7 linked regions of the Macaca fascicularis genome follow. The protein of the gene in region 1 purifies or fractionates together with the protein of each later gene. This does not show direct contact. Links are inferred from orthologs where the notes say so. Each region holds a gene or a part of one and is shown in the gene's direction. Other genes may lie near its edges.

Evidence for each region.
Region 2: the proteins of KBTBD7 (region 1) and OBSL1 purify together in Homo sapiens (affinity purification with mass spectrometry; 3 studies listed by BioGRID and IntAct, with this or other methods). This does not show direct contact. The link is inferred for Macaca fascicularis from reciprocal best matches to the Homo sapiens genes KBTBD7 and OBSL1.
Region 3: the proteins of KBTBD7 (region 1) and LLGL1 purify together in Homo sapiens (co-immunoprecipitation; 4 studies listed by BioGRID and IntAct, counting the BioPlex papers as one, with this or other methods). This does not show direct contact. The link is inferred for Macaca fascicularis from reciprocal best matches to the Homo sapiens genes KBTBD7 and LLGL1.
Region 4: the proteins of KBTBD7 (region 1) and TMEM160 purify together in Homo sapiens (co-immunoprecipitation; 3 studies listed by BioGRID and IntAct, counting the BioPlex papers as one, with this or other methods). This does not show direct contact. The link is inferred for Macaca fascicularis from reciprocal best matches to the Homo sapiens genes KBTBD7 and TMEM160.
Region 5: the proteins of KBTBD7 (region 1) and MTERF4 purify together in Homo sapiens (co-immunoprecipitation; 3 studies listed by BioGRID and IntAct, counting the BioPlex papers as one, with this or other methods). This does not show direct contact. The link is inferred for Macaca fascicularis from reciprocal best matches to the Homo sapiens genes KBTBD7 and MTERF4.
Region 6: the proteins of KBTBD7 (region 1) and TJP1 purify together in Homo sapiens (co-immunoprecipitation; 3 studies listed by BioGRID and IntAct, counting the BioPlex papers as one, with this or other methods). This does not show direct contact. The link is inferred for Macaca fascicularis from reciprocal best matches to the Homo sapiens genes KBTBD7 and TJP1.
Region 7: the proteins of KBTBD7 (region 1) and LLGL2 purify together in Homo sapiens (co-immunoprecipitation; 4 studies listed by BioGRID and IntAct, counting the BioPlex papers as one, with this or other methods). This does not show direct contact. The link is inferred for Macaca fascicularis from reciprocal best matches to the Homo sapiens genes KBTBD7 and LLGL2.

Annotation. Positions count from the first base shown.
Region 1 is NC_088391.1:20,547,977-20,551,963, reverse strand, and holds the start of KBTBD7 (kelch repeat and BTB domain-containing protein 7), read left to right. Parts: upstream 1-1,162; 5' UTR 1,163-1,474; coding exon 1,475-3,532; 3' UTR 3,533-3,987. UniProt on the Homo sapiens protein: As part of the CUL3(KBTBD6/7) E3 ubiquitin ligase complex functions as a substrate adapter for the RAC1 guanine exchange factor (GEF) TIAM1, mediating its 'Lys-48' ubiquitination and proteasomal degradation.
Region 2 is NC_088386.1:115,501,292-115,505,540, reverse strand, and holds the start of OBSL1 (obscurin-like protein 1), read left to right. Parts: upstream 1-1,448; 5' UTR 1,449-1,753; coding exon 1,754-2,765; intron 2,766-4,249. Other genes in the region: INHA (inhibin alpha chain), read right to left, coding at 404-629, 791-886. UniProt on the Homo sapiens protein: Core component of the 3M complex, a complex required to regulate microtubule dynamics and genome integrity. It is unclear how the 3M complex regulates microtubules, it could act by controlling the level of a microtubule stabilizer.
Region 3 is NC_088390.1:18,351,819-18,355,817, forward strand, and holds the start of LLGL1 (lethal(2) giant larvae protein homolog 1), read left to right. Parts: upstream 1-1,184; 5' UTR 1,185-1,262; coding exon 1,263-1,343; intron 1,344-3,999. UniProt on the Homo sapiens protein: Cortical cytoskeleton protein found in a complex involved in maintaining cell polarity and epithelial integrity. Involved in the regulation of mitotic spindle orientation, proliferation, differentiation and tissue organization of neuroepithelial cells.
Region 4 is NC_088393.1:55,046,198-55,050,500, reverse strand, and holds the start of TMEM160 (transmembrane protein 160), read left to right. Parts: upstream 1-1,477; 5' UTR 1,478-1,487; coding exon 1,488-1,695; intron 1,696-3,698; coding exon 3,699-3,791; intron 3,792-3,932; coding exon of another isoform or gene 3,933-3,961; exon of another isoform or gene 3,962-4,155; coding exon 4,156-4,303.
Region 5 is NC_088386.1:137,015,952-137,018,875, reverse strand, and holds the end of MTERF4 (transcription termination factor 4, mitochondrial), read left to right. Parts: coding exon 1-349; 3' UTR 350-1,874; coding exon of another isoform or gene 1,875-1,895; 3' UTR 1,896-2,422; downstream 2,423-2,924. UniProt on the Homo sapiens protein: Regulator of mitochondrial ribosome biogenesis and translation. Binds to mitochondrial ribosomal RNAs 16S, 12S and 7S and targets NSUN4 RNA methyltransferase to the mitochondrial large ribosomal subunit (39S).
Region 6 is NC_088381.1:7,488,274-7,492,408, forward strand, and holds the start of TJP1 (tight junction protein 1), read left to right. Parts: upstream 1-1,332; 5' UTR 1,333-1,423; coding exon 1,424-1,596; intron 1,597-4,135. UniProt on the Homo sapiens protein: TJP1, TJP2, and TJP3 are closely related scaffolding proteins that link tight junction (TJ) transmembrane proteins such as claudins, junctional adhesion molecules, and occludin to the actin cytoskeleton.
Region 7 is NC_088390.1:81,955,666-81,959,194, forward strand, and holds part of LLGL2 (LLGL scribble cell polarity complex component 2), read left to right. Parts: intron 1-819; coding exon 820-917; intron 918-2,887; coding exon 2,888-2,969; intron 2,970-3,248; coding exon 3,249-3,364; intron 3,365-3,529. UniProt on the Homo sapiens protein: Part of a complex with GPSM2/LGN, PRKCI/aPKC and PARD6B/Par-6, which may ensure the correct organization and orientation of bipolar spindles for normal cell division.

The DNA of each region.
Region 1 (3,987 bases):
AGTTACAAACTCATTTACTCGGCATACACCCTATGGAGAGGGTATTTCTTGTTATAGCTAAAGTGTGAATCGGCCTTATGTTCCCTGCCTCCAGACCCTATTTTCCTGCCTCAAATCTCTAATACTTGATTTTGATGATTTAACTGTTGATCAATGCAAATATAAAAGACTTTTGTAAAGCATAGGCTATACTGTATGTTAATTCAAGGAATGTCAGGGCATGTACTAATGCTGAATTCTGAGAATCACGTGCTTTTGTACAGAACAAAGTCTGTTTCTTGAAATATTTTGAGTTAAATACTCCCTAAAACTCCTTAATAAAGGCAATTACAGAATCTGTTAATTGATATGTGGAATGGCAGTGAAAGAGACTGTATTAGACGACTTGAAAACACTCATATTTGGAGCTTAATGAAAATATTCCTGCTCCCCAGAGATGAAATGTTAGTGAGAGTAGCAAATAATCTATTTTTATATGCCCGATTTGCATATTTGAGGCCATCTATTAACACCGTTCTTTAGGACCTCAACCTAGTCGTCTAAGACATCCTTATTAAACAAGGCCAATACGTACCATTTAACATTGAAAATAGTTAATGCCCTTCAAAATCTTTCAAAAGAATAAAAATTAAAAACTAAGTTCTTTGTAAAATTTTGCGGTTTAAAATAATTTTAAAAATTTTAAAAATTTTTTGGTTTCAAATTAGTGGGTGCCTCATTTATCATAAATTATAAAAGAGAATCTAACAATTATTGGCTACATTCTAGGCACGGGGTAACGCTTTATTGTTCTTCTAACCAAAAAAATACATGTATCTAAGTATCCTATGTAACGTATCATTCAATCACACAAAACCCTATGAAATACTGGCAGGGCCCGGTGGCTCACGCCTGTAATCCCAGCACTTTGAGAGGCAGAGGCAGGAGGATAATTTGAGCCCTCAGGAGTTCAAGACCAGCCTGGACAACAATAGTGAGACATCGTCACTTCACCATCATATCCAGAATTAATTTCTACTGTTAGGGCAGTCAGCGAAAGGAAAGCTCGCGATATTACACAAACTACTACTCCCAACATGCAAAGCGGTTTCTTTCCCTCTGTCCCCGCCCGGCCGTCCGAGAGCCCCAGCAGGCCTCGGGGCGCGAAAGGCAACCTGGAAGCGGTAGTTCTCCTGGGCGCCTAGCGGGATCGCCAGCGCGGCAGTGGGGCCTTCCGCGGCTCCAAGCCAGCGGGTCCTGTGAGGGCGAGCGGAGGCGGAGAAAGGGCGCGGGAGTGAGAGAGGGTGAGTCAGCCACTGTCTACGCAATAAAGGGAGACCTCACCGCGGGCTAAGGCTGAATTCAGAAGTGCGGCCCGTGCCGCAGTCTGTTCCAGGACGCGGCTTGTCTTAGCGTCAGCGAGGGAAGGTTGAGGAGGAGCCAGAGCCGGGTCCGGCAGCCTTTCTCGCTATCAGCGCCCGTCGCCATCTCCACCATGCAGTCCCGGGAAGACGCCCCGCGCTCTCGCCGCCTCGCCAGCCCCCGCGGTGGGAGGCGGCCCAAGAGGATTTCCAAGCCCTCGGTTTCGGCCTTTTTCACGGGTCCAGAGGAATTAAAGGACACGGCCCATTCTGCAGCCCTGCTGGCACAGCTCAAGTCTTTCTACGACGCGCGGCTGCTGTGTGATGTGACCATCGAGGTGGTGACGCCTGGCAGCGGGCCTGGCACGGGTCGCCTCTTTTCCTGCAATCGCAACGTGCTAGCAGCTGCGTGTCCCTACTTCAAGAGCATGTTCACAGGTGGCATGTACGAGAGCCAGCAGGCCAGCGTGACCATGCACGATGTGGACGCCGAGTCCTTCGAGGTGTTGGTCGACTACTGCTACACGGGTCGTGTCTCTCTCAGCGAGGCCAATGTGCAGCGCCTGTACGCAGCCTCCGACATGCTGCAACTGGAGTATGTGCGGGAAGCCTGTGCCTCCTTCTTAGCCCGACGTCTTGACCTGACCAACTGCACCGCCATCCTCAAGTTTGCAGACGCCTTCGACCATCACAAGCTTCGATCTCAGGCCCAGTCCTATATAGCTCAGAACTTCAAGCAGCTCAGCCGAATGGGTTCAATTCGGGAAGAGACTCTAGCAGATCTGACCCTGGCCCAGCTGCTGGCTGTCCTGCGCTTGGATAGTCTGGACATAGAGAGTGAGCGGACTGTATGCCATGTAGCTGTGCAGTGGCTGGAGGCTGCTCCCAAGGAGCGGGGTCCCAGTGCTGCGGAAGTCTTCAAGTGCGTGCGCTGGATGCACTTCACTGAAGAAGATCAGGACTACTTAGAAGGGCTGCTGACCAAGCCCATCGTGAAGAAGTACTGCCTGGACGTTATTGAAGGGGCCCTGCAGATGCGCTATGGTGACCTGTTGTACAAGTCTCTGGTGCCAGTGCCAAACAGCAGCAGCAGCAGCAGTAGCAGCAGCAACTCTCTTGTATCTGCAGCAGAAAATCCACCCCAGAGACTGGGTATGTGTGCCAAGGAGATGGTGATCTTCTTTGGACACCCGAGAGATCCCTTTCTCTGCTATGACCCTTACTCAGGGGACATTTACACAATGCCATCACCTTTGACCAGCTTTGCTCACACTAAGACTGTTACCTCCTCAGCTGTCTGTGTCTCCCCAGACCATGACATCTATCTAGCTGCCCAGCCAAGGAAAGACCTCTGGGTGTATAAACCAGCTCAGAATAGTTGGCAGCAACTTGCAGATCGCTTGCTGTGTCGTGAGGGCATGGATGTGGCATATCTCAATGGCTACATCTACATTTTGGGGGGGCGAGACCCTACTACTGGAGTTAAGTTGAAGGAAGTGGAATGCTACAGTGTTCAGAGAAACCAGTGGGCATTGGTGGCTCCTGTCCCTCATTCCTTCTATTCCTTTGAACTCATAGTGGTTCAGAACTATCTTTATGCTGTCAACAGTAAGCGCATGCTCTGCTATGATCCTAGCCACAATATGTGGCTGAACTGTGCTTCTCTTAAACGCAGTGACTTTCAGGAAGCATGTGTCTTCAATGATGAAATCTATTGTATCTGTGACATCCCAGTCATGAAGGTCTACAACCCAGCTAGGGGAGAATGGAGGCGGATTAGTAATATTCCTTTGGATTCAGAGACCCACAACTACCAGATTGTCAATCATGACCGAAAGTTGCTTCTCATCACTTCTACAACCCCACAATGGAAAAAGAACCGAGTAACAGTGTATGAGTATGATACTAGGGAAGATCAGTGGATTAATATAGGTACTATGTTAGGCCTTTTGCAGTTTGACTCTGGCTTTATTTGCCTTTGTGCCCGTGTTTATCCTTCCTGCCTTGAACCTGGTCAGAGTTTTATTACTGAGGAAGATGATGCACGGAGTGAGTCTAGTACTGAATGGGACTTAGATGGATTCAGTGAGCTGGACTCTGAGTCAGGAAGTTCAAGTTCTTTTTCAGATGATGAAGTCTGGGTGCAAGTAGCACCTCAGCGAAATGCACAGGATCAGCAGGGTTCTTTGTAAATAGATTTTGAGACACTAAGATGTTTCTACTGCTACGGAATGTATTTTAAACACATATCCTTTCTTTTTCTTGAAAAAAAAAAAGTTGACCAGGACCACAGATTTGGTTTAGAAAGGGTAATATTTTGAAATACTACAAGGTTTAAACAGTCCACAAAATCGACCTGTTTAATAATATACCTTCCTGAAAGTCCAAAATTAAAATATGGAAGCAAGAACTATGTAATTGACTGGGATGCTTGGTAGGTTTTTTTCATTGTTCAAATATTCATTGCACAGTGGATTGTTTTGATTAGTTAGTATGCTTTTTTTTTTTTTAATTAATTCAGTCTTCTGTTAATTTTTAAGTTTTGGTTAGTGCCACAAGGAATTTAACTTTTTAATCTGTACAATAGAAAACTGGACTAGGAATTGTTGGTGGAGTTTTGAAGGATGTATACTTTCCTTCAAAATAA
Region 2 (4,249 bases), on another chromosome or scaffold:
TGTATCTCTGATAGCTTCTCAGTCTCAGCTACCTGGGAGTAAAGAAACAGGGTCTGGAGCAGCGAGCAGAGGCAGAGATAGGAGGAAAGGTGGCAGGAAGGGGCCCAAGCCCAGACATCTCCATCTCTAGAGACCCCTGGTCTCCCAGCGCATACCTCCCAAATGCCTCCCACCTGCCATGCACTCTAGGTACAGCCTCTCACTTAATCCTGAGAGGTTGGCGTTATCACGCATTTTACAGATTGGGAGACAAGAGGCATAAGGAGGTTTAATAACTGGCCTATTGTTGCAAAGCCACTGAGTGGTAGGGCTGGGATTCAAACCCAGGTCCACCTGGCCCGCAAACCCATGCTGTGCCTTGCTGCTTCTCAAAGTCACCCTGCCAGTTCCCCCACCTCGTTACCTGTGGCTGGGAAAAGGATGGCCTGGGAGACATCCTCCTCCTCCGTGGGCTCAGAGCCCCTGCGTGTGAAGCCCCCCAGGGCATGTCTTCGGAGCAGCCGCCTGACTCCAGGGTCCCCACCTTCCCTGGTCACCACGGGGGACCCCAAGGCATCCAGGAACAGGGCCCTCACCTTGGCCAGAACAAGCTCCCGGGCCAGCTCCGGCCCTTGGCAGCTGTGACCACCCTGTGGGGCCAGCAGCAAGAAGAGCAGTAGGGGCAGCACCATAGCTCACCTGGCCCTGCTAGCGGGGAACCCACACCCTCCCCCGTGCCCTTTCTGCCAGGGTCTGCCCAGGGCAGCTCCACTCTCCCCATCCCACACCCACCCTCTTCTACCCTTCTCACCCAGTCTTCTCCAGTCCTTTCCACGCCCCACAGTCCGAGTTGCCCCTGCCCGTGGCATTGAAACCTCCTATCTCTGACGCAGATGTCTGTGGCCATGAGCCTTATCTCCCACTCCCGCCAGGGATGTTGGGGAGGGACTGGGGAGGATTTCGCCCCAAGCGACCTGACTCATACAAGCAAACATTACAACCCCTTCTCCTACACACACACACACACACGCACACACGCACTCTCTCACACACACACACACATCCAGAGGTTTACATCAGGTGGGACAGGAGCCTGGGAGCTGCAGCCGGCCAGCCCCGGAAAGTGTCATTTGTCAGGGAGACACAGTGCACCACCCCTCAGACCTTCTGGGGCCCCTTTCAATAAGCAGCTGCTGGGCCGGCCAGCCCTTGGGGGAAGGGCTGGAGCCGGGGCTAGAACCGGGGCTAGGGCCGGGGGCAGGTGGTCCTGCCTGCTCTATACTTAGCCCAGTGGAGCCAGTCTGGGCTCTTGTCCTCCAGCTGTGTCATCAGAGAATATTTTTGGGATTGGCAGCTGCAGGCGCCTCTGCCACTCAGGCCCAAGCCTGGCGGGAGGCTAGGGACCTGGCGGCTGGAGGTGGGAGGGAGGAGGGGGAAGAGGCCCAAGCTGTGGGAGGGGGCTGGGAAGAGAGGCTCCCAAGAGCAGGAAGCCAGGCAGCGGGCAGGAGAGGCTGCGGGGCCCCTCGCTGGAGAGGCAAACAGGAAGGACTGCCCCCTGAGCGCCAGGCTTCGGCCCGGGAATCGCCGCCGCCGCCGCAGAGCTGCAGCTTGGGGCCGAGGGTAAGGAGGCGAGCCGGGAGCAGGAGGCCCGGGAGAGCTTCGCGGGTACCCGCGCCTGGTCCGCAGCCGCGCCCCGGCCCCGCCGCCCCTGGCCTCTGCTCGCCCTCGGCCCACCCTCCCCGTTGGCCGCTGCAGGCGGTCTGAGACAGCTGCGATGAAGGCGAGCTCAGGGGACCAGGGGAGCCCCCCGTGCTTCCTGCGCTTCCCGCGGCCGGTGCGGGTGGTAAGTGGCGCCGAGGCGGAACTCAAGTGCGTGGTCCTGGGGGAGCCGCCACCGGTAGTGGTGTGGGAGAAGGGCGGGCAGCAGCTGGCGGCCTCGGAACGCCTGAGTTTCCTGGCGGACGGCGCGGAGCACGGCCTGCTGCTGAGCACCGCACTGCCTACCGACGCCGGGGTCTACGTGTGCCGCGCCCGCAACGCGGCGGGCGAGGCCTACGCGGCGGCCGCTGTCACCGTGCTGGAGCCACCGGCCTCCGAGCCCGAGCCGCAGCCCGCCGAGCGCCCGCTGCCACCGCCGGGGTCCGGGGAGGGCGCCCCGGTCTTCCTCACGGGGCCCCGATCCCAGTGGGTGCTAAGGGGGGTGGAGGTGGTGCTGACGTGCCGGGCGGGGGGCCTCCCTGAGCCCACGCTGTACTGGGAGAAGGACGGGATGGCCCTGGACGAAGTGTGGGACAGCAGCCACTTCGCGCTCGAGCCCGGCCGCGCCGAGGAGGGCCCCGGCGCGAGCCTGGCGCTGCGCATCCTGGCAGCTCGGCTGCCGGACTCCGGCGTCTACGTGTGCCACGCCCGCAACGCGCACGGCCACGCGCAGGCGGGGGCGCTGCTCCAGGTGCACCAGCCCCCTGAGAGCCCGCCCTCGGACCCCGACGAGGCCCCCGCGCCCGTGGTGGAGCCGCTCAAGTGCGCTCCTAAGACTTTCTGGGTAAATGAGGGCAAGCACGCCAAGTTCCGCTGCTACGTGATGGGCAAGCCCGAGCCCGAGATCGAATGGCACTGGGAGGGCCGCCCGCTGCTCCCGGACCGCCGCCGCCTCATGTACCGCGACCGCGACGGCGGCTTCGTGCTCAAGGTGCTCTACTGCCAGGCCAAGGACCGTGGGCTCTACGTCTGCGCCGCGCGCAACTCGGCAGGCCAGACGCTCAGCGCGGTGCAGCTGCACGTGAAAGGTACGGCGGCGCCCGGGGCCTGGGGAGGGGCCTCTCGTGTCCTCCGAGGCCCTCCGAACACCAGCCCTCCTCGGTGCGCAGCACTGCCCCGAAGACTGGAAGAGAGGAGGTCCGCGGCAATATTAAAATATCAAACCCGCCCGCCTCCCGCTCTCCAGGGATTCGGATTTACTAGGTCTCCCGGGTACTCAGGAACTTCTTAGCAAACTCCCCAAAAGATTCCGAGGCAGATGGTGGAACACCACTAAGGAGTGATTGATGTACAAACCTGGAGGGCGGTAGAACTCTTCTCCCCTAGTGGTTTTCAACGTCTTTGTTATTTTACTTCTCCTTCCCCAACTGAATTCACAACCAGAGTCCCAATATATGAGACAGATAAAGGAGTATTTTGTGGGCCTAAATTGCTAAGTCTGCTTGTATAACAGGTACTTCTAAAGCATCAGTGAGAATAAGGAGGCTATTTTATTGAATACAGGCATTTGAAGTGAAGACTGCATTCATGAGTCCAGGCTCTGAACCCTGTGGGAACAGCCTGGGTGCGTCTGTCACCTTGAGAAACAAGTGATTCAGTAGAAAGCTAGACAAGGGAGGACAAATGTCCTGTGTGTTTTTACTGTTCTTTGATTAAACTACTCCCCACGTTTGCAAGAAGAGGAAGGTGAAGGAGAGAAGGTTTATATTTCAATGTTGAATCACCAACAATATCCAATAAACGCTTACATTCTCATAAACAGAAAATTCAAAGGGAAAAAAAAAAAGCACACCCCAAACTCACCATTAGGTAACGCTCCCCATAATAGGATTTCATCACAATGCAAAGGATTATACCTTCACTAGTTATTGTCCAGATTTTTCTCTTGGAGGAAAAAAAAGTTGGTAAATTCTCCTGAGTCCTGCCTGGCACGCAGTCAAGGATGTGGCCCCTGGGCTGCGGTGGTGGCCTCGCTGGTACAGTTCAATGCACACAGATTTGTCAGGCTGGTGCTGATCTGGACCTCCATCAGGAAAGAAAAGCCCCGAGGGAAGGCTGGAGGAGCTTCCCAGAGTTGGATACACACACACTGAAACTTGCTTCTCCAGCAGCCCGAGTTAATTCTCTAGTTTCTAACATCCTGTTTTCTTTTCTTTCTTTCTTTCTTTTTTTTTTTGAAATACACTTTTGAAAGGGGTTAAAATAGCCAGGCGAGGTGGCTCACTCCTGTAATCTCACCACTTTGGGAGGCTGAGGCAGGAGGATCACCTGAGGTCAGGAGTTCGAGAACAACCTGGCCAACATGGCGAAACCCTTTTTCTACTAAAAATACAAAATAATTAGCTGGGCGTGGTGGCACGTGCCTGTAATCCCAGCTACTTGAGAGGCTGAGGCACCAGAATTGCTTGAACCAGGGAGGTAGAGGTTGCAGTGAGCCAAGATTGCACCACTACACTCCAGCCAGGGCAAGAGAGCGAGACTCCATCTCAAAAAAAAAAAAAAAGAAAAGAAA
Region 3 (3,999 bases), on another chromosome or scaffold:
CACTTAGGGGCTTTACTGTCGTCATCCTCCCTCCTCTCACCTCCCCACTCACTCCTGGCCCCTCTTCTGGATCCAGCCCCAAATCCGGGGAAGGGCTGAACACGGCCGGCCTGGCGTGGGTGGAGGGGGACAGCCAGGCCCCAAGGCTTGGCAGCTGCCTCGGGGTCACAGGTCAGCTCCTCCTCCCTTGACACAGCTGGTGGGGTTGGGGCCTGTCCTACCTGCCCCACCTAAGCTTCTAGGACCTCCCGCAACCCCAGTGCCGAGCCAGGCGACCTATCCTCAGCCTGGAAGGAAAGGTTCAGCCTCGAGGCCATTGTCCAGATGAGAAAAGGCCTGGGAGGTGGGTGGGGACAGGCAGACGGCCCCTCAGACAGTAGGGGCAGGGCTAAGCTTTGTTCATACACTGTTCTCTGTGGGGGCAGGCCCTTCCCCCATCTCAGTAAAGCCCCAATCCAACCCCAGAACAGTCCCAAATGCCACCTCCTGGGTATCCCGTCTCTTTCTTTGGCTAAGAAAGAATCCCCTGTACTGTGACAGAGCCTTTTGCGTTGGGTCCTGAAAGATGTGTAGGAGTTCCCCAGGGGCTGGGGGTGAGGAAAGAATTCCTGACTATAAAGCCAAGGCAAAAGCACGGCGGTGGGAGGTGCTCTGACACAGCGAGGAACAGACAAAATGGAGTTCTGTGAGAATGGTAAACTATAAACTTGGCAATCACTTGACCAATGGTGTAGATGGGGAAACTGAGGCGCAGAGGGGCCAGGGAGTTGTTCCAGTCAGAGATCTCTTGGCTTTCGGAATAGGGCTGCCCCATTACTTGAGTGGGCACGTCGCTCGCTCTCTGGGAGGAGGAAAAAATCTTCTCCAAGCCCAGGAACATGCGCCAGTCCCCCTCCAAAGCGCTTCCCCAGCCGCCCGCGTTGGAGCCCCGGCTCATGGACTACACGTCCCGGCAGGCCCCGCGCCGCGGCGCAGGCTAGGCGGGCGTCCCTTCGCGAGCCCGGCCGAGCCCGGGGGCCCAGTTCACCATTGTCTGGCCAACAGGGGCGGGGCGGGCGGTACGGCGGGCATGCTCATTGGTCGGACGGTGCGTCCGTCGCGCCCCGCGCCCACCCCCGTGCAGGCCCGGCCCCGCGCGCCCGCGCCCGGGCCGCCTGGTGCCCCGCCCGCGCCTCAGGACCGGCGGGGCCGCGCGGCGCATCCTGCGGGCGGCGGCGGCGGCGGCGGCGGCGGCGGGCGCGGCGCCGGCAGCCGGGCGCAAGATGATGAAGTTTCGGTTCCGGCGGCAGGGCGCCGACCCGCAGCGCGAGAAGCTCAAGCAAGAGCTTTTCGCCTTCAACAAGGTGCGGCTGCGGCGCGGGCGCGGGCTCGGGTGGGAGGGGGCGGGCCGGGGGCCCGGGCTGGGGACCCGGGGTCGGAGCCACGTCGGGCCCGGGGGGCGGGGGCTGGCATGCAGCGCGGCGCGGGGCGGGGGCTGGGCCGGGCCGCGCACCCCCTCCTCGGGCCCAGCTCTGGCTCGGACTCTGGGTGGGTCTGGGTCTCCGGCCGACTTTCCGTGTCTGCTCCCGAGTCTCTGCGGGCCGCTCTGGCCCTGGGTCTGCCAGTCTCTGTGTGTCTGGGTCTCTCTGTCTCTGAGACTCTTTGCCTGTCTTTGGGTCTCTGCCCCACTTTCTCCGTCGCTGACCGGCTCCCTCGCCCCAGTTGTGACTGTGTGTGTGGTGGGGGTGTCTCTGCCTCTGCCCCTTCCTATCTTTGCCTCTCATTTCTCTTTCTGCCTCTGCGTCTCTGAGTCTTTGCCTGTCTCTCCCTGCGTGTCTCTCTCTCTCTCTCTGTGGAGTCTCTCGACCTCTTCTCTGTCGCTCACTCTCTGTCTCTTTATCCTTTTTCTTTGGGGCTCCTTTGCGTCCCTGCTCGGCCCTTGGGACAGCCGTGGGCCCCGGTTTGTTTTGTGCTTTGGCACGCAGGAGGGCGAGAGAGTTAGTGGGGACGAGGCAGCTGTGGGGGGTGCGGCTGGGAAATCCCTTCAAGGAGCCTCTCCTTCCTTCCCCCACTGCTCCAGGCTCTGCCTTGCCCTGCTCTCCCCTGCCCTGCCCGGGGCCCCGAGTCCAGGGGACATGCCTGGCTGTGTACTACAGTGCCCTTCACATCGTGGGGCCTCAGTTTCCCTAGCTGTGAAATGAGGCTACTTTTCTCCTTACTGTGGGCCCTGGCTCCCTCTGCCACATGGGCCAGCTGTCCTGCTGCCCCGCACCAAGGTGGAGTGAAGTGGAGGCTTTTCCTTCCTTTCCCCAAGTGGGACACTAGGGGCCAGGGAAAGGGGCCGCCTCAGCCCCCGCCTCCCTATGCACTGATGTTAGAGCAGGGCCTCAGCCTGCTCCTGGCTCACTCCTCTGGGGGCGTTGGTTTTGTCCTCATTCTTACCCCAGAGCCCACGGATCGCAGAGCCTCTCAGTGCTCTTCGAAATTAGAGTTATCTTCAAAATACAGGTGAGAAAATTGAGGTTCTGAGAGAGGTGACGGCTTGCCCAGAGTCAGAGTGAGCTGCACCAATATCTTTCTCGAGTTCCTGTGTCAGTGGGGTTGGATTTTAGCCTTGAGGGGCGGGGATTTTTCCAAGGGGCTGCTGTGGTCCTGGGCCAGTGTTGTGCCAGGTGCCCTGGGCTGCCTTGAGGAGACCCTTGTCTTGGAGGAGGCTCTGGGACGGTTGGACCTGGAGTAGCAGAGGCACTGGGATGTCTCAGGGTTTCCCTGCCTAGGTCTGCAGTGGTTGCCGGTGAGAGCTGCCAGGACCTTCACAGGGTGGCTGAGAACCTGCCAGGAACCTGAGAGGGGGCCCAGAGGGGAAGCTGGTGCTCCGTGGTCCCCAGATAGTGCCTGTTTTCTGTGCTGGGGAGGCTATGAGAGTTAGGTGAGAGGAGAATGGCCCTTCAGGGAAAGGCAGCAACAGGCTCAGGGCTAAATGTCACTTTTTTTTGAAACGGGGTCTCACTCTCACCCAGGCTGAAGTGCAGTGGCACAGTCACAGCCCACTGCAGCCTCAACCTCCCTGGCTCAGGTGATCCTCCCACCTCAGCCTCCTGAGTAGCTGGGACTACAGGCTCATGTCACCATGCCTGGCTAGTTTTTGTATTTTTTGTAGAGGTGCGGTTTTACCATGTTGCCGAGGCTGGTCTCGAACTCCTGGGCTCAAGCTATCTATCCATCCATGTTGGCTTCCCAAAGTGCTAGGATTACAGGCATGAGCTACCATGCCTGGCCTAAATGTCATTTCTTCAGCCAGTAAATTGGGATGTGCAGTGGGGACTGGAGACAGGTGGGAATGAAGCTCAGCCCACTCTGTCTAGCCTTGGGGTGGTGGGAAGTAAGGGCCCTCCACTGAGGATGAAGTGTGGGCAGCAGTGGTGGAAAGTAGGGTGGTCTTGGGGAAGGGACTTAGTCACCTAAGTGGGTCATAGGGGATCGCTAGGGAATAGGCCCCTGATTCCTGAGTTTGGGGGGTGGGAGACAGGTCAGGAGTGAGCAGGGACTTTGGACTCCGAGTCTTGGGTTCAAATCCCAGTCCAGCCCACATGTCGCCTGTGGAGTGTGCCTTCTCTGTTAATACTGAGCCCCACTGTGTGTGAGGTCTACAAGGTTCTGGGGACAACAGTAGTTATCAAAAAGGACAAATATGTCTTAACTCAGGTGGCTGATATGCTAATGCAGGAGACAGTGAAAAGCCAAAACAAAAAAATAGAATAGACGGTAGTTGGGATGTTAGCCAGTGCTGTGGATCAAATAAAGCAGGGCGAGGGGGAGGGAGGTGTGGCCAGGGCGGCTGCTGCAGCCAGGGTGGCTTAGGGAGGCTTCTCTGAGGAGATGACTCCTGAGCGACAGGAAGTGCTGGAGGAAGTGCATGCCAGGCAGAGGGGCAGTAGGTACAAAGGCCCTGAGGCACAAGCCTCCCTTAGCTGGGAACCCCAGGAGGATCCTGAGCAGGGGAGGGACGAGGATCTGGCT
Region 4 (4,303 bases), on another chromosome or scaffold:
TGGCGTGATCTTGGCTCACTGCAACCGGGTTCAAGTGATTCTCCTGCCTCAGCCTCCCGAGTAGCTGGGATTACAGGTACACGCCACCATGCCCGGCTAATTTTTTGTATCTTTAGTAGAGATGGGGTTTCACCATGTTGGCCAGGCTGGTCTCGAATTCCTGACCTCAGGTGACCCACCCACCTTGGCCTCACTTTAGGCGTGAGCCACTATGCCAGGCCATAATTTTTGTATTTGTAGTAGAGACAGGGTTTCACCAGGCTGGTCTCAAACTCCTGACCTCAAATGATCTGCCTGCCTCAGCCTCCCAAAATGTGTTGAGATTACAGGCGTGAGCCACTGTGCCTGGCCTGGCCTGATACTTAGAATTAAAAAAAAAAAAAAGCCATAAAAAATCAATGCTTTGGGTTAATGATCACAATATATTGTTATGTGAAGAAAAATTAATGGTCAGGTGGCATCTTATTTTATATCTGCATAGAAAAAACACTGGACAGGAATACAAGATGGTAGTAGTAATCACTCATTGGTGGAATTACTGTTGAGGTTTACTCTCCTTTCTGAGATCTTCAAGATTTTGCAAAGATTCTCCATTAAGTGCCCCACGTTTTGTTTTGTTTTCTGGCCATTGGAATTGACGTAATTAATACAAACTACAGGCCGGGTGTGGTGGCTCACGCCTGTAACCCCAGTGCTTTGGGAGGCTGAAGCGGTCAGATCATGAGGTCAGGAGTTTGAGACCAGCCTGACCAACATGGTGAAACCCCGTCTTTACTAAAAATACAAAAATTAGCCGGGCGTGATGGCAGGTGCCTCTAATCCCAGCTATGCGGGAGGCTGAGGCCGGAGAATTGCTTGAACCCGAGAGGCGGAGGTTGCAGTGAGCCGAGATCACGCCACTGCACTGCAGCCTGGGCGACAGAGCAAGACTCAGTCTCCGAAGAAAAAAAAAGAAGAAAAGAAAAGAGAAAAGAAGAGGGAGGGAAGGAAGGAAGGAAGGAGGGAAGGAAGGAGAAAAAGAAAGAAGAAAGAGAAGGAAGGAAGGAAGGAGGGAAGGAAGGAGAAAAAGAAGAAAGAGAAGGAAGGAAGGAAAGAGAAAGAAAGAAGGAAGGAAGGAAAGAAATAGAGAGAAAGGAAAAGAAAAGAACTACAATAGGTGTTCAGCGTGTACTCCGTTAAAAAAAAAAATAGAATAAAAACTACAAGTTCCAGCAGACATCTCGCTTACGACTTCTGTAGATCGTCTTTCCCCAAACGCAATGATCGCTGGGATTCGTAGTCCAGTGACAAAATCAAGGAGGGACGCGCACTACCGGCCTAGATGACAGAGGAGGGAATCACTACCATTCCGACCAATGGACAGTTCACGCCGAAACTGAGTGGCGAGCGCATAGCCAATGGGTAAGCCATTCAGCCTGAGTGACATGGGTTGCAACCTACAGGAGGCCCGTGGGGCGGTACGGCGCGCGGCGCCCGTAGTGCGAACCATGGGAGGCGGCTGGTGGTGGGCTCGGGCCGCTCGCCTCGCCCGTCTCCGCTTCCGGAGGTCGCTACTGCCGCCTCAGCGGCCCCGGAGCGGGGGCGCCCGGGGGTCCTTCGCCCCCGGCCACGGTCCCCGCGCCGGGGCTTCGCCGCCCCCAGTGTCCGAGCTGGACCGTGCGGACGCCTGGCTCCTCCGAAAGGCGCACGAGACAGGTCGGTGGCTGGAGGTGGGGGCGGTGTGGATGGGACGGGGGTCCCGGGCGCGCGTGGAACCTCGATGGGGCGGAGGCTTCTGCAGGAAACGGGGCCCCGGCTCGGCTCCGAGAAGGGCTTCAGTGTGAGCGCACGGAAGCGCAGAGTGCAAGAGCGCAGGTGCTTGCAGAGAGGATGGGCTTTCGGGGAGGACGAGGACCCCGCGTAACGGGGCGCCGTAGGGATTGGAGGGGGTGGTAGGGTTGCGCGAGGCAGCCTCGTAGAATCGCGCCTGTCGTGTGAAGAGGGGCTTCCAGGGAAAGCTTAGAGTCTGTGGAGTTGGATACTAGAGGGGTCCGTCCCGATTACAGAGGCCACCACTGTGCAGAGAGCGGGAGTGTGGATCCCCGCAGACGAGGGGGAAGTTCAGGATTGGAGGAGGGGACAACCAATAGGGAAAAAGCTCTCTGCTGATTGGAGGGGGAGGTGATCTAGGCTGCAGGGGGCGGGGCTTGTGACGGAGGCGAGGTCCAGAATGTAGCGGAGTGGCCATCTATTTTTTTTTTTAATTTAATTTAATCTAATTTAATTTATTTATTTTTTTGAGACGGAGTCTTGCTCTGTCACCGGGGCTGGAGTGCAGTGGCCGGATCTCAGCTCACTGCAAGCTCCGCCTCCCGGGTTTACGCCATTCTCCTGCCTCAGCCTCTCAAGTAGCTGTGACTACAGGCGCCCGCCACTTCGCCCGGCTAGTTTTTTGTATTTTTTAGTAGAGACGGGGTTTCACCGTGTTAGCCAGGATGGTCTCGATCTCCTAACCTCGTGATCCGCCCGTCTCGGCCTCCCAAAGTGCTGGGATTACAGGCTTGAGCCACCGCGCCCGGCCAATTTTATTTTTTTAATGACAATGTTTTGCTCTGTCACCCAGGCTTGAGTGCAGTGGCACAATTTTAGCCCACTGAAGCCTTCAACTCCTGGACTCAAGTCATCCTCTTGCCTCAGCCTCCTGCTTAGCTGGCGCTACAGGCATACACCACCGTGCCCAACTATTTTAATTTATGCAGAGACGGGGTCTCGCTTTGTTGCCCAGGCTGGTCTGAACTCTTGGGCTCATACAATCTTGCCTTGGCTTCCCAAAGTGCTGGGATTACAGGCGTGAGCCACCTCACTGGGCCAGTACTGGGTATCTAGATATAGGGTGTGGTGGGCTGTTTGTAAGGGACTTGAATGGGGACGGACGTGGATGAGATTGGCGCAGGCCATACTCGGTAGGAGATGGCGGCATTTGAAGGAAAGGAAGAGCGAGGCTGAAGTGCGGCCTGGGTTAGGAAACAGTTTGCCCCAGAGTTCTGAGAAAGAAGTAAGTAGGCAGGCCGTGGGGATATACATAGAGGGAGGGGGTTGGTCAGGATGGCTCTTCAGATTGGAGGTTCTGCAATTTTGCCCCTGGATTGTCCTCCACATTCTGCAGGGACTATCTTGAATCCTTTATTTTTTTGAGACGGAGTCTCGCTCTGTCACCCAGGCTGGAGTGCTGTGGCAAGATCTTGGCTCACTGCAAGCTCCACCTCCTGGATTCAAGCGATTCTCCTCCCTCAGCTTCCCGAATAGCTGGGACTACAGGCACGTGCCACCACACCCTGCTAATTTTAGTATTTTTAGTAGAGACGGGGTTTGACTATGTTGGCCAGGCTAGTCTCAAACTCCTGACCTCGTGATCTACCTGCCTTGGCCTCCCAAAGTGCTGGAACTACAGGCGTGAGCCACCGCACCCAGCCCTTGAATCCTTAGTGTTACAGAGTTTGTGGGAGAGGGGCACTGAGGTGGAGGCCAGAGAGCATGTGGGGGGATGTGGTTAGGTGAGGGACTTCCTGGAAGAGGTAAGGATTTGGGGTGGGCTTGCCTTGTGGCTGCATGGGGTGGAGTGAGCTGAAGGGGGAGCCCCTTCAGTTTTACAGGGCAAGGGAGATTGAGGAGGTAGGGTTGGGGGTGATGTTAATCCCCCCATGTCTCCCTCCCTCCAGCCTTTCTCTCCTGGTTCCGAAATGGCCTCCTGGCATCGGGCATCGGAGTCATCTCCTTCATGCAGAGTGACATGGGTCGCGAAGCAGCATATGGTGAGTACAGATCCCCACTCTCACCTCCACCAGGGAACCAGGGAATCCAGAGCCCCTACCACCTGTCCTGGTGAGGGTAGACTTTCCCACCCCATCCCACTCCCAGTAGTAAGCACAGAACCCCCATTCTTCCCCCACCAGGAAGACACCCCTCCCATGGGCCCATCTGAATGGGTGGCCCAGGACATGGCTATGGTCCCCTCCCCTCTGATCTGATTCTCAAAGATGCAGTCCAGCCCCTGGCACGGCCCTGCCTCTGTTCCTGTCTCCTCAACCCTGGCTTTGCTCCCAGACCATCCCCCACACCCCCGATACCTTTTCGTCCCCCGACCTTGGCCCTGTCGCTACCCTGCCTCTCCCGCAGGCTTCTTCCTGCTGGGCGGCCTGTGCGTGGTGTGGGGCAGTGCCTCGTACGCGGTGGGCCTGGCGGCGCTGCGAGGGCCCATGCAGCTGACGCTGGGGGGCGCGGCCGTGGGCGTGGGCACAGTGCTTGCCGCCAGCCTGCTCTGGGC
Region 5 (2,924 bases), on another chromosome or scaffold:
GTACTTGCAGTATTCACTAACCAAGATTAAGCAGAGACACATTTACCTGGAGCGACTGGGACGGTACCAAACCCCTGACAAGAAGGGGCAGACACAGATCCCTAACCCACTGGTCAAGGACATTTTCAGAGTTTCAGAAGCCGAGTTTTTGGCCAGGACAGCCTGTTCTTCTCTTGAGGAGTTTGAGGTTTTTAAGAAGCTCCTGGCTCGGGAGGAGGAGGAGTCTGACAGCAGCACATCTGATGACAAAAGGGCAAGTCTGGATGAAGATGAGGATGAAGATGATGAGGAGGACGACGAGGCGGAGGATGATGATGAGGATGAGGACGACGAGGAGGAACAGCTATGATGGAAGGCCTAGAGCAAGGGCCCAGAGATACCAAGGAAGCTTTTCATTCTCTTAAAGCTTTTGGGTCCTTTACTTGAATCTTCTTAAGTTATTTTTTATTCTAAAACTGGTCTCTTGATGAAAAAAATTATAAGTCACCTGAGAGGCAGACAGAGCAAACCAAACCGGAAACAGGAAATGCACGTTTGATCTGTTGTCAGGTGTCTGTGAGGAAGGCCCTGTCCCATCCTGAATAGAACACTTACTTTGAGCTCTTCAAATCAAGGGCACTCAATACATCAACCTTTGGTTTTATTTTTTTCTCTTTTGAATATGTTGGTGATAATTCTGTGACAGTTGGAAGATGGGGTTCATTCTTCTGGTTCAGGAATCACTTTATATTTCCTTCTAGTGATAAAAATAAAATTACGAGAAGGCAATGTGAGGTTTTAGTACATCATAGCACTTTATTTTATGAAAACATGTAGCAGGCTTTCCACAGAAATACTTGTTTTTAATCCAAAAGTCTATTGCTTCGTGATGGCATTCAGTGTACAGCAGAATAAAAGGAAGTTGATTCGTGATGTATTGGTTAATTTTGCAGGCTTCCTAAGGCCAGCAGAACATTGTGGCAGTTTTCTTTATCTTTGTGAAGAACAGGCCCTTCCTGTTTGGGGAGGTTGGCTTTTATGTCAGCTCTTGGCCAGTGGTCACTTCCAGGCCTGGTGTCTCCGGCCCTGTAGACTGTGCTGGCCTGGAGAGTGCTGGAGCAGGTGGAGGCCAGGGAATGGTTCCATACAGTTATCTCCCCTGCCCTGGTTACAGACGGCTTCAAGAACCAGAGAAGAGCACAGGGTATGGAGCAGGTGGGCTGAACCAGGGCCACAGGGAGCGCTCCATGACCCCCAAGGTGGGGGTGGGGGGGTGTGTCACCTTAGGGAACTCAGTGAGTCCAAAGAACAGTTTGAAGTGTTGGGAACAGAGAAGAGGAATTTGATGTAAGCCAGGGATGATCCCTGAGGTAGAGGCCTGTCTCTGATGCCATGAGCTCTAAGAGGGTCCTGGAGGATTGGTACATCCTAGAACATTCCAGTTAGCCCCTCCTTAGGGGAAACTGGCATAGGATTGATGCAGAGAGCATTTTTGATGATAGGACCAAAATTCAAGTCTCCTTGGTAGCATTCTAGGATCGACTAGATTCTAGGATCTGGTAGATTCTAGTGGGTAGAGGCCAGGAATGTTATAAAACATCCTACAGTGCACAGGATGGCCCCACAAGAGAGAATGATGCGGCCCAAAATGTCAGTGCTGAGCCTGAGAAACTCATCTAAGGCCTGGTCCAATAAAGTAATGTGACTGTTCACTCGTGACAACTTCAGATGGTAAATGGACTTAGGATAGTATTATTTTATTTACAAGAAAAATAAGGAGCTGGTTTTTCAGCAGGGTTCCTTTCCCCTATGCACTGGACTACCCTTGGTAGGTGTGAGCTGCATGCTATTGTGGGGATTTGGCACTGAAGTCTAGGTGCTTTTGTTTTCTCCAGCAGCCTTGTCTTAGAGTGTGACTGCAAAGAAAAAGACTTGTTTTGCAAAAGAAAAGCAGCTCGGTGACTCCCTCCACATCGCCACAGCTGAGTCAGAGTCGCTTGCCAGTGGAAGGAGTTCCTGCTAAGGGGAGGTGCAGGAGGTGAGCTGACACCTGAGTGGGGCCCTTGCCTGTTGGGTTCTCCACTGGAGGACAGTGGGCAGAGCAAAGATTCCCTTACTTGTACCTGGTAGCCCACATGCAATGGGGAAAAGGGAGAGTTTGTCTTTATTGCCTTGCTTGGCCATAGGCAAAACTGTTTGGAAATGAGACATTTCACTGTGCCAGTGTTTTCATTTTCTCTTCCATGTGGCATCCCGGTCACTGCCACTCTTCCCAGAACCTAGGCTGCTGTTCTTGTGCCCGATCAGAGGACTAAGTAGAATCCTCTATCTGCACTTGGTTAGATGATCAGTCCATCCCAGTTTCATTAGCAAATGGGTAATTCAGCAACTCATGATTGCTTCTTTCATTTTGATACAGAAATAAATCTTTATGCTCCTGACAGTTTTCTGATTCTGTTATTACTAATGTCCTTGGGTGGACTTTGAGTATTTTCAAGGAAGCCATTTGAGTTTTTAAAAGAAGCCACGTGGGAAACGCTGTGGTGGCCTCTTTGGAATGTTTCAAGAACGAACTGTAATTCCTGAGCACCGGGAAGTCTTTTTACTAGATATTTAATGTGTAAAACATCCCAACAGACGAGTCCTGTGACAGCACAGCACCAAGCTTGGGACTCAGGAGCCAGTTCTCGTTGACACAAAGGCTTCTAAGCTAACACGGGAGCATATTGGCATTTGCTGTGTGGCTGAGGGGTTTGAGGTCCTAGTAGGGAGTAGAAAGTTTCCTAGTAGATTCACCTACTTTTCCAGTGATATCACTCGATCTTAGCATCTGCTAGTAATGCTGTAGCTTACATGGACAAACAATGACGGGTCCCACGGCTGCAGGAAGTCCGCAGTACGTGTTTCTGAACGTGGTTTTCTCTCAGTTCACCCAGTGACCCTTC
Region 6 (4,135 bases), on another chromosome or scaffold:
AGACATAGACAACTGTGGGAGTGCTGACTTTCCAGAGACTAGATATGCAGTCGGTGAAACTTACTCAAAGCACACTGAATGAGGAAAGCGGCTGTGACAAAAAGGATGAGGATGTCCCGGAGGAAGTGAGGTCCACAAAAAATTTTACATTAAAGGAACTCTGAGACATTGCATGGCATTGGAAGTGCAAAGGATAAAATACTGCGTGTAATCCAAATGTGATGTTTTGCCAAGGCACAGAAAAGGTGTTCTCTTGGTATATAAGAGTTACACTAGAAGAAGACAAGCACTGTTCAAGTTATTCTTAATAAGTTTTATTTTTACAAAGACATAAAACACTTTAATTCTCAATGTTCGAATGTTTTAAACTGTTTTTATTTTTCATTTCCATATACAGTGTATTTGTAACCATCAGTTAAGCGAGTTTTGAATGGCTCTTTTGTTGTTGTTGTTTGTTCTTTCCAAGACAAGGACTTGCTCTGTCACCCAGGCTGGAGTGCTGTGGTGCGACCTTGGCTCACTGCAGCCTCGGCTTCCCCGGCTCAAGCGATTCTCTCCCCTTATCCTCCTGAGAAGCTGGGACTACAGGTGCACACCATCACGCCTGGCTCATTTTTTTTATTTTGTAGAGACAGGGTCTCACTGAGTTGCCCAGGGCTGGTTTCGAACTCCTGGGCTCACGCCATCCTCCCGTCTGGGCCCCCCAAAGTGCTGGGATTACAGGCGTGAGTCACCGCGCCCGGACTGCTTTGAATGTTTTGAGAAAAACTGTCTAAAGTCGTGGAACTATCTTAATTTTTCCCATTTATTATTAAGGTAGTTTTGCATGGTTCAGTCATTTCCAGGGTCCAGAATGACCGTGTAAGCGAGGACTGCATGTGCGTGTAGTACGTATTCACAATATGCATTATGTCAATGTGAAGTCAACCACTTTGGGGTAGAACACATCAATTGATGGTTACAAACCAACAGGCGGTGCTTTTTTTTTTTTTTTTCTTTTTTTCCATCTGTGCTGTAAGTGTGCTGTTGGTATTCTCTTTGGGTGCTAACGGTTGAAAAGGAGCTCCTGCCAGCCGCTGAAAACACCGCGACACGCGGGCGCAGGGCCTGGGCAGGGCGGCCGGCGCGCAGGTGGCCCGGCCTCGCCCAGCGGCTCTGGAGCGGGAGCCACGCCAGCCCGGCCTCCCGCGAGACCCGCACCCGCCCGCCGGAGCGCGCCGCGGGGCCACGGCCTGCAGGGGTGGAAGGGGCGGCGGCGGCGGGAGCTGCGGGCCACGCACGGCGGCGGCGGGAGCGGCCGGGCACGCACGGCGACGGCGGCGGCGGGAGCGGGAGTCCGAGCCACGCACGGCCGCAGCGGCGGGCGCGGCGGTCGCGGGAGCGGCGGGAGCTGTGGCGGCGGCGGATGGCCCAGAGCTGATCTATGCGGCGCCTGGAGGGGCTGTGTCTGCGGCGGCGGCGGCGGCGGCGGGGCCCTGCCCGCGAGCGGAGCGGGGACAAGATGAAGTACCAGAAATACCTGACGGTGCTGCAGATGGCCATCGGCGTCACTCCCTCCAACCGCGGCAGCCTCCTGCCGCTCAAGAGGAAGCTGTGGTGAGGCGGCCGCGCGGGCGCGGAACCGCAGCCGGGCCAGGCGCGGGCCGGGGCGGGGACCGGAGTGGGAGCGGGGGCCGGGGCGGCCGGGGGGGCGCGAGGCCGAGGCTGCCGGGCCCGACGGGGCGCGGGGCGCGCGGGGCGCAGCAGCCAAGGCCGAGCGCAGGGCCGACTGCCGCCTTGTGCCGCGTGCCCGCTGGCTGGTTTCGCCGAGACCCTCGCTGTGCCGGCGGCGTGTACGGCGGCGGGGAGCTGCCGGGACCCCTGGCACCCGCACCCGGGCGTCGGCCTCCCGCCTCTGTCTGTCCTTTCTGCTCCATTACGGCGGGTTCTGGCTCAGAATTTCCAGCCAGGCTCTCGCGGAGACAGCAGAGAATTCATTAGTATCACGGTGTGCGTTTTCAGTTATTTTTCAAAAATTCATCTGCTGCTGAGTGCAGAGTAGAGGACGAGTAAGGCAAGGGGAATAAGTTGGGACATTATTATTGCATTGTCGGGGACTGTATTCTACCTGCATGCGTTCCAGTTCCTCCGACCTGGAGACTGTTACTGAGGTAATGAAGAAAAAACACCTTTCAAGAAAAATGTCTGGACCTTACTGGTTTACGTTGCTGATTATCTACAGGATTGTATATTGCATTTTATTAATCATATTCCGTAATCCAGACGGAATCCTAGGAGCCTCCTAGGTATTCCACTGGCTTGAGATTTAGGCTTAAGGTTCTTTTGCAAAAGAAGTAATCTAGTAAAGGGAAGATGACTACAGAAAAAAGATGCCAGTTGTCATGACAGTCAGTGGTCATTTTAATTTTAGAATTAGTGGTCAATGTAGCTCATAAAGGTTTTATTCAATTCAACTGAACACAGTCTTATTTAATCCTAAGGTTATAGAGAAAGGAGATGAGGCTGCTTTTAGGTAATGAGGAAAGTAATTCCTGCTGTGTAAGACAGTGTGAAAGAATGATCCTTACCAAAGTCTGTAGTGGTCAGCCAAGAAAAAGATGGGTTAAGAAAAAGAATCCTAAAAGTGGAGAATTTTGAAGGTAAGACGAATATGGACAGCAAAGTTCAGATTTCAGCTGTGCCACGTTCTGTGTGACCTTAAACAAGTTCCTGGAGTGTCTGTTTCTTCCTCTGTGAAATGAGAATCTTGTTATCTCCCTCATGGGGATATATACAGATCAACTCTGATAATGAATACGAAGGTGTCTACTACCACTGTGCCTGGCTTAATCATAGGTGCTTAGTAAATCTTAGTGTCTTTCTGCCTCCACCAATTTGTTTTTTAAAAAAATAAATTTATTCTGCAAAAGATATTTTAATGTGCCGGATGCAGTGGCTCACGCCTGTAATCCCAGCACTCAGGCATATGGCCTGAGGTCTGGAGTTCAACACCAGCCTGATCAAGGTAGTGAAACCCTGTGTCTACTAAATAAACAAATAAAACAAACAAACAAATACAAAATTAGCCGGGCGTGGTGGTGCATGACTGTAATCCCAGCTACTCCGGAGGCTGAGGCGGGAGAATCACTTGAACCCAAGAGGCAGAGGTTGCAGTGAGCCAAGATTATGCCACTGCACTGTAGCCTGGGCAAGAGTGAGACTCCGTTTCAAAAAAAAAAGAAAGATATTTTAGTGTGATGAACAGCAAGTGACAACACTTAGAAGACAAGATTAGCCACAGTTGAATTAAAACATGTCTGTGGGAGATGTTAGCAAATAAATGAAGACTGTCACTAACTACAGTGAAGGAAGAAGGGGTAACACTTGAAGATCGCTTCTCAGATTGATGGTATATGGGGGTATGGGAGATACCAGCACCAGTAGTCATATCTCCCATTTTGCTTTTCTCCTGAGCACTTATCAATAACTAACACACTGTTTATTTTACTTATTTTTCATATATATTCCCCCTCTCCTCACTAAAACGTAAGTTGCATGAGGGAGAGCTTTTGTCTGTTTCATCCATTGCTGTAAAACACCTGCAGCTGATATCTGGTTCAAAGGTATCAGAAAGCTTCTCAATAAATATTTGCTGAATAAATGGATTCTTAATAATTTGTGACTGGGAAATAATATGTTAGGGAAATCTGTTTTTTTTTTTTTTTTTGAGACTGAGTCTTGCACTGTTGCCCAGGCTGTAGTGCAGTGGTGCGATCTCGCCTCACTGCAAGCTCCGCCTCCCGGGTTCACACTGTTCTCCTGCCTCAGCCTCCCAAGTACCTGGAACTGCAGGCACCCGCCACCATGCCCGGCTAATTTTTTGTACTTTTAGTAGAGACCGGGTTTCACCGTGTTAGCCAGGATGGTCTCGATCTCCTGACCTCGTGATCCACCTGCCTGGGCCTCCCAAAGTGCTGGGGTTACAGGCGTGAGCCACCACGCCCAGCCAAGGGAAATCTATTTTCTAAATGTTCAGTTTTAAATTATTTATTTATTTATTTGAAATAGTTTTGCTCTTGTTGCCCAGGCTGGAGTGCAGTGGCAGATCTTGGCTCATTGCAGCCTCTGCCTACAGGGTTCAAGTGATTCTCCTGCC
Region 7 (3,529 bases), on another chromosome or scaffold:
CTGCACTCCAGTCTGGGTGACAGAGTGAGACTCCGTCTCAAAAAAAAAAAAAAAAAAAAAAAAATTGTGCAAACATTCACAAGTGCAGAAGACTCAAAGGACTTACACTGAGGTGTTAGCAAGGGTTACTTCTGGTTGTGGGAGTCTGGGTAATTTTTGTTCTTAAACGTCTTTATACCTCCCAAGTTTTTCACAGTGTGTGTGTATTACTTCTGTAATAAATGAAAAAACACGTATCTGCAACGACATTCCAGGAATTCCCTTTCTGGAAAGATGGTTGAAACTCAGTGACAGTAAGAGCCTATGAGACCCAGCTGACTAGGGCCTGGAGGGACCTGGAAGAGCCCAGAGCAGGGCAGAGCCTCCGCGGTACTCTGGGCCCCTGGGTGAGCCCGGAGCTGCGGTGCAACCAAGCTTTTCTCCCGAGAGACCAGTGTCTCCATTGCTCCAAACTCCCCCTACTTTCCCCACCCCACATCCGTAAGGCCCCCATGCCACTGAGGAGGGCTGGGTCCGTCACCCAGGGCGCATGTGGTGGAGACACCAAATCAGTTCCTGGAGAGCATCGAGAGGCTGGCGTGGCATCCAGGAGGATGAGCTCGAAGGAGTGGCAATGAGGCCAAGGGCAGAGTCACAAAGGGACTGGGGGTGGGGCCTGGTAAGTTTGGGTTAGGCTCCAACACTCAGGTGTCTGGGAGGAACCTGAAAGGTTCCGAATCCCTGCTTCCTGCTGGCGTCCTCCAGTGCTGCAGCTCCGGCAGCCATGGTGGCATGAAGGGGAGAGGTCTGCACGCCCACCCCGCGTGCTTCTCGTTGCAGACGGTGGAGCATGGCTTCCCGCACCAGCCAAGCGCCCTCGGCTACAGCCCGTCCCTGCGCATCCTGGCCATCGGCACCCGTTCTGGAGCCATCAAGCTGTATCCTCCGTCCCCTCACTCCCAGCCGGGCAGGGCCTTGGGGTGGGTGAGATTTGGGGAAGGACATCTTTTTTTCCTTCCTTGCCCATGGGCTGTTGGGATAAAATGAGAGACTTTCCTGATTTCCAGCTTTGGACATGATTTTATTCCAAAATGAGGTGGGTATGGTTGATGGTGGAGTGGGCACCTGGGCATGGTGGGATGTGACCCTGTCCTTTGCAGGAGGACAGTGAGGTTTGAAACAGACTGAGGAGATACAGGCTTATTTTGTCCCTTGTGTCCTTTCAAGACCATTCATGTGGTCTGCTCCCTTTACTCAGTTTCCCCCTCTCACTTACTCCTGGAGGTTTCAGGAATCCCCCAGTCCTGGGCAGGGGCTGAGGATGCTGGGGGGCTCAGAAACCTGTTTTGCAGGGGTTGTGTTGGTGGATCCAGGGGGAAGGACCTGATGCCCGTGTCTCAGCCAGTGCTCAGTCAGTGAGTGGCTGGCTGGTGTGTCAGTAGCAAGGCCTGGGCCCTTCTGTGCCCCTGCCTCCCTCAGTTCCCCACCTCACCACCAGAAAAGCAAGTTACTAGGAATGTTTTTAATTTAAAAAAATTTTTTTCAGCACTTTGGGAGGCTGAGGCGGGCGGATCACTTGAGTTCAAGACCAGTCTGGTCAACATGGTAAAACCCTGTCTCTACTAAAAATATTTAAAAAGTTAGCAGGGTGTGGTGGCACATGCCTGTAATCCCAGCTACTTGGGAGGCTGAGATGGGAAAATCATTTGAACCTGGGAGGCAGAGGTTGCAGTGAGCCGAGACTGCGCCACTGCGCTCCAGCCCGGGCAACAAAGAGCAAGACTCTCTCTCAAAAACAATTTTTTTTTTTTTTTTTTTTTTTTTTTTTGTGGAGACAGGGTCTTGTGATCTTGCCCAGCCTGGTCTTGAACTCCTGGGCTCAAACAACTCTCTCACCTTGGCCTCTCAAAACGCTAGGGTTACAGGCATGAGTCACCGCACTCCCAGCCTGCAGTTTTGATTTTTAACCTATCATGATAAGAATCAGAGGTGGACTGGCCCCAGGTCCCTATCCACAAGCAGAGGTGGGGTGGCCTTGGGCCAGGAGAGCTAGGCTCAGGCAGCCATCTTCCAAATTCCACCCCCACCCCCACAGGCGGCAGAGAGTGGAGAGGGCTCTGCCTGGCAGGGACGGTCCTTCCCCGGCCTGAGGCTGGACGTTGTCCAGTTGGGTCATCTTTTATCCAGAGCACTGGTTCTGGCCGACTGGGGGCTCCCGGTGTTTTCAGAGATGAAAAACCGGATCAGGTTGGGCACCCCGCCAGTCTGATCTGTGCTCCCAGGGCAGGACCCAAGGGAGCTGAGAGATGAGGGACCACCTCTGCCAGCTTGACTGCCACCTCCAGCGGAGCCTGACGTCCCTCTTCCCCTCTGCCCGGTGTGGGGGAGGGGTATGGAGCGCTCGAGTTCCAGGCTGGGCTGGTGTACACAGAGGGCCAGGGCCTTGCTGCCGGCTCAGCCTTCCCTCACTGGTTAATCATTGCCAGGCCACAGCCAGACTTTGGTTACCAATCCCTGGTGCCGAGGCTGTTGGGGATAGGCCGTGTGTTTTTTCACAGGTGCTACCAAGCGACAGCCAACACGTCTGTTGTAGCTCAGAATCAGGGTGGCAGCCTGACGGTTGCCAGGGTAGGGCTTCACCTTTCTATGGAGTTGCTCCCACCGGCCTGACTGGGAAAAATCTCCCAGGGGTCGGGTCACTGGCCTGGTGCCCCAGGGCCAGGGCTGTTGTATCTCCTCCCCATCCCAGGCTCCATGCATGAGTCCTGCTGCCTGCGGGGAGGGCAGCCCCTCTCTGTGTTTGCACTCATTGCATGTGGGCCCCAAGGGCCTGGCACTCAAGGTGGGCAGGGGATGGTGTCAGGGGATGGTGTCTGGCCTTCCAGAGCTTTCCTGAGCCTGCTCGTAGCTATGGAGCCCCGGGCGTGGAGTTCATGGGGCTGCACCGGGAGAACAACGCAGTGACGCAGATCCACCTCCTGCCCGGCCAGGTGAGGGACCTGGGGTGGGACAGGAAGCCACCTCCACACCCTCCTTGCCCTCACTGCTTCCAGCAGGGCTGGTGTGGAGAGGCTGGCATTCAGTGGCCCTGGGTTTGCTGCTGCTGGAAAGGCCTGGGACCCCCTCCCTTTCCACAGGTGGGGCTCGTGGGCCACGCTGGGAGTGGCCAGGGGGTCTTTGAAACAACCAGCCCAGGCTGGGCGGCCCCAGTGTGTAAAGGCCTTGCTGGGTAGCAAGACCACATGCTCCCATCCCTGTGCCCTCGCCAGTGCCAGCTGGTCACCCTGCTGGATGACAACAGCCTGCACCTTTGGAGCCTGAAGGTCAAGGGCGGAGCATCGGAGCTGCAGGAGGATGAGAGCTTCACACTGCGTGGCCCCCCAGGGTAAGGGCTCAGTCCCCAGCCCCTTCCACTCCCAGCCCAGCCTGACCCTTGCCCTTAGCTCTGGAGTGGACTCACCCTTCGTGGGGCCTGTTGCGCCCCTGGCAGTGCCTGGCATGCGTTTGACCCGATGCATCCCCATACTCAGGTGCTCCGAGTGGAGTGGGT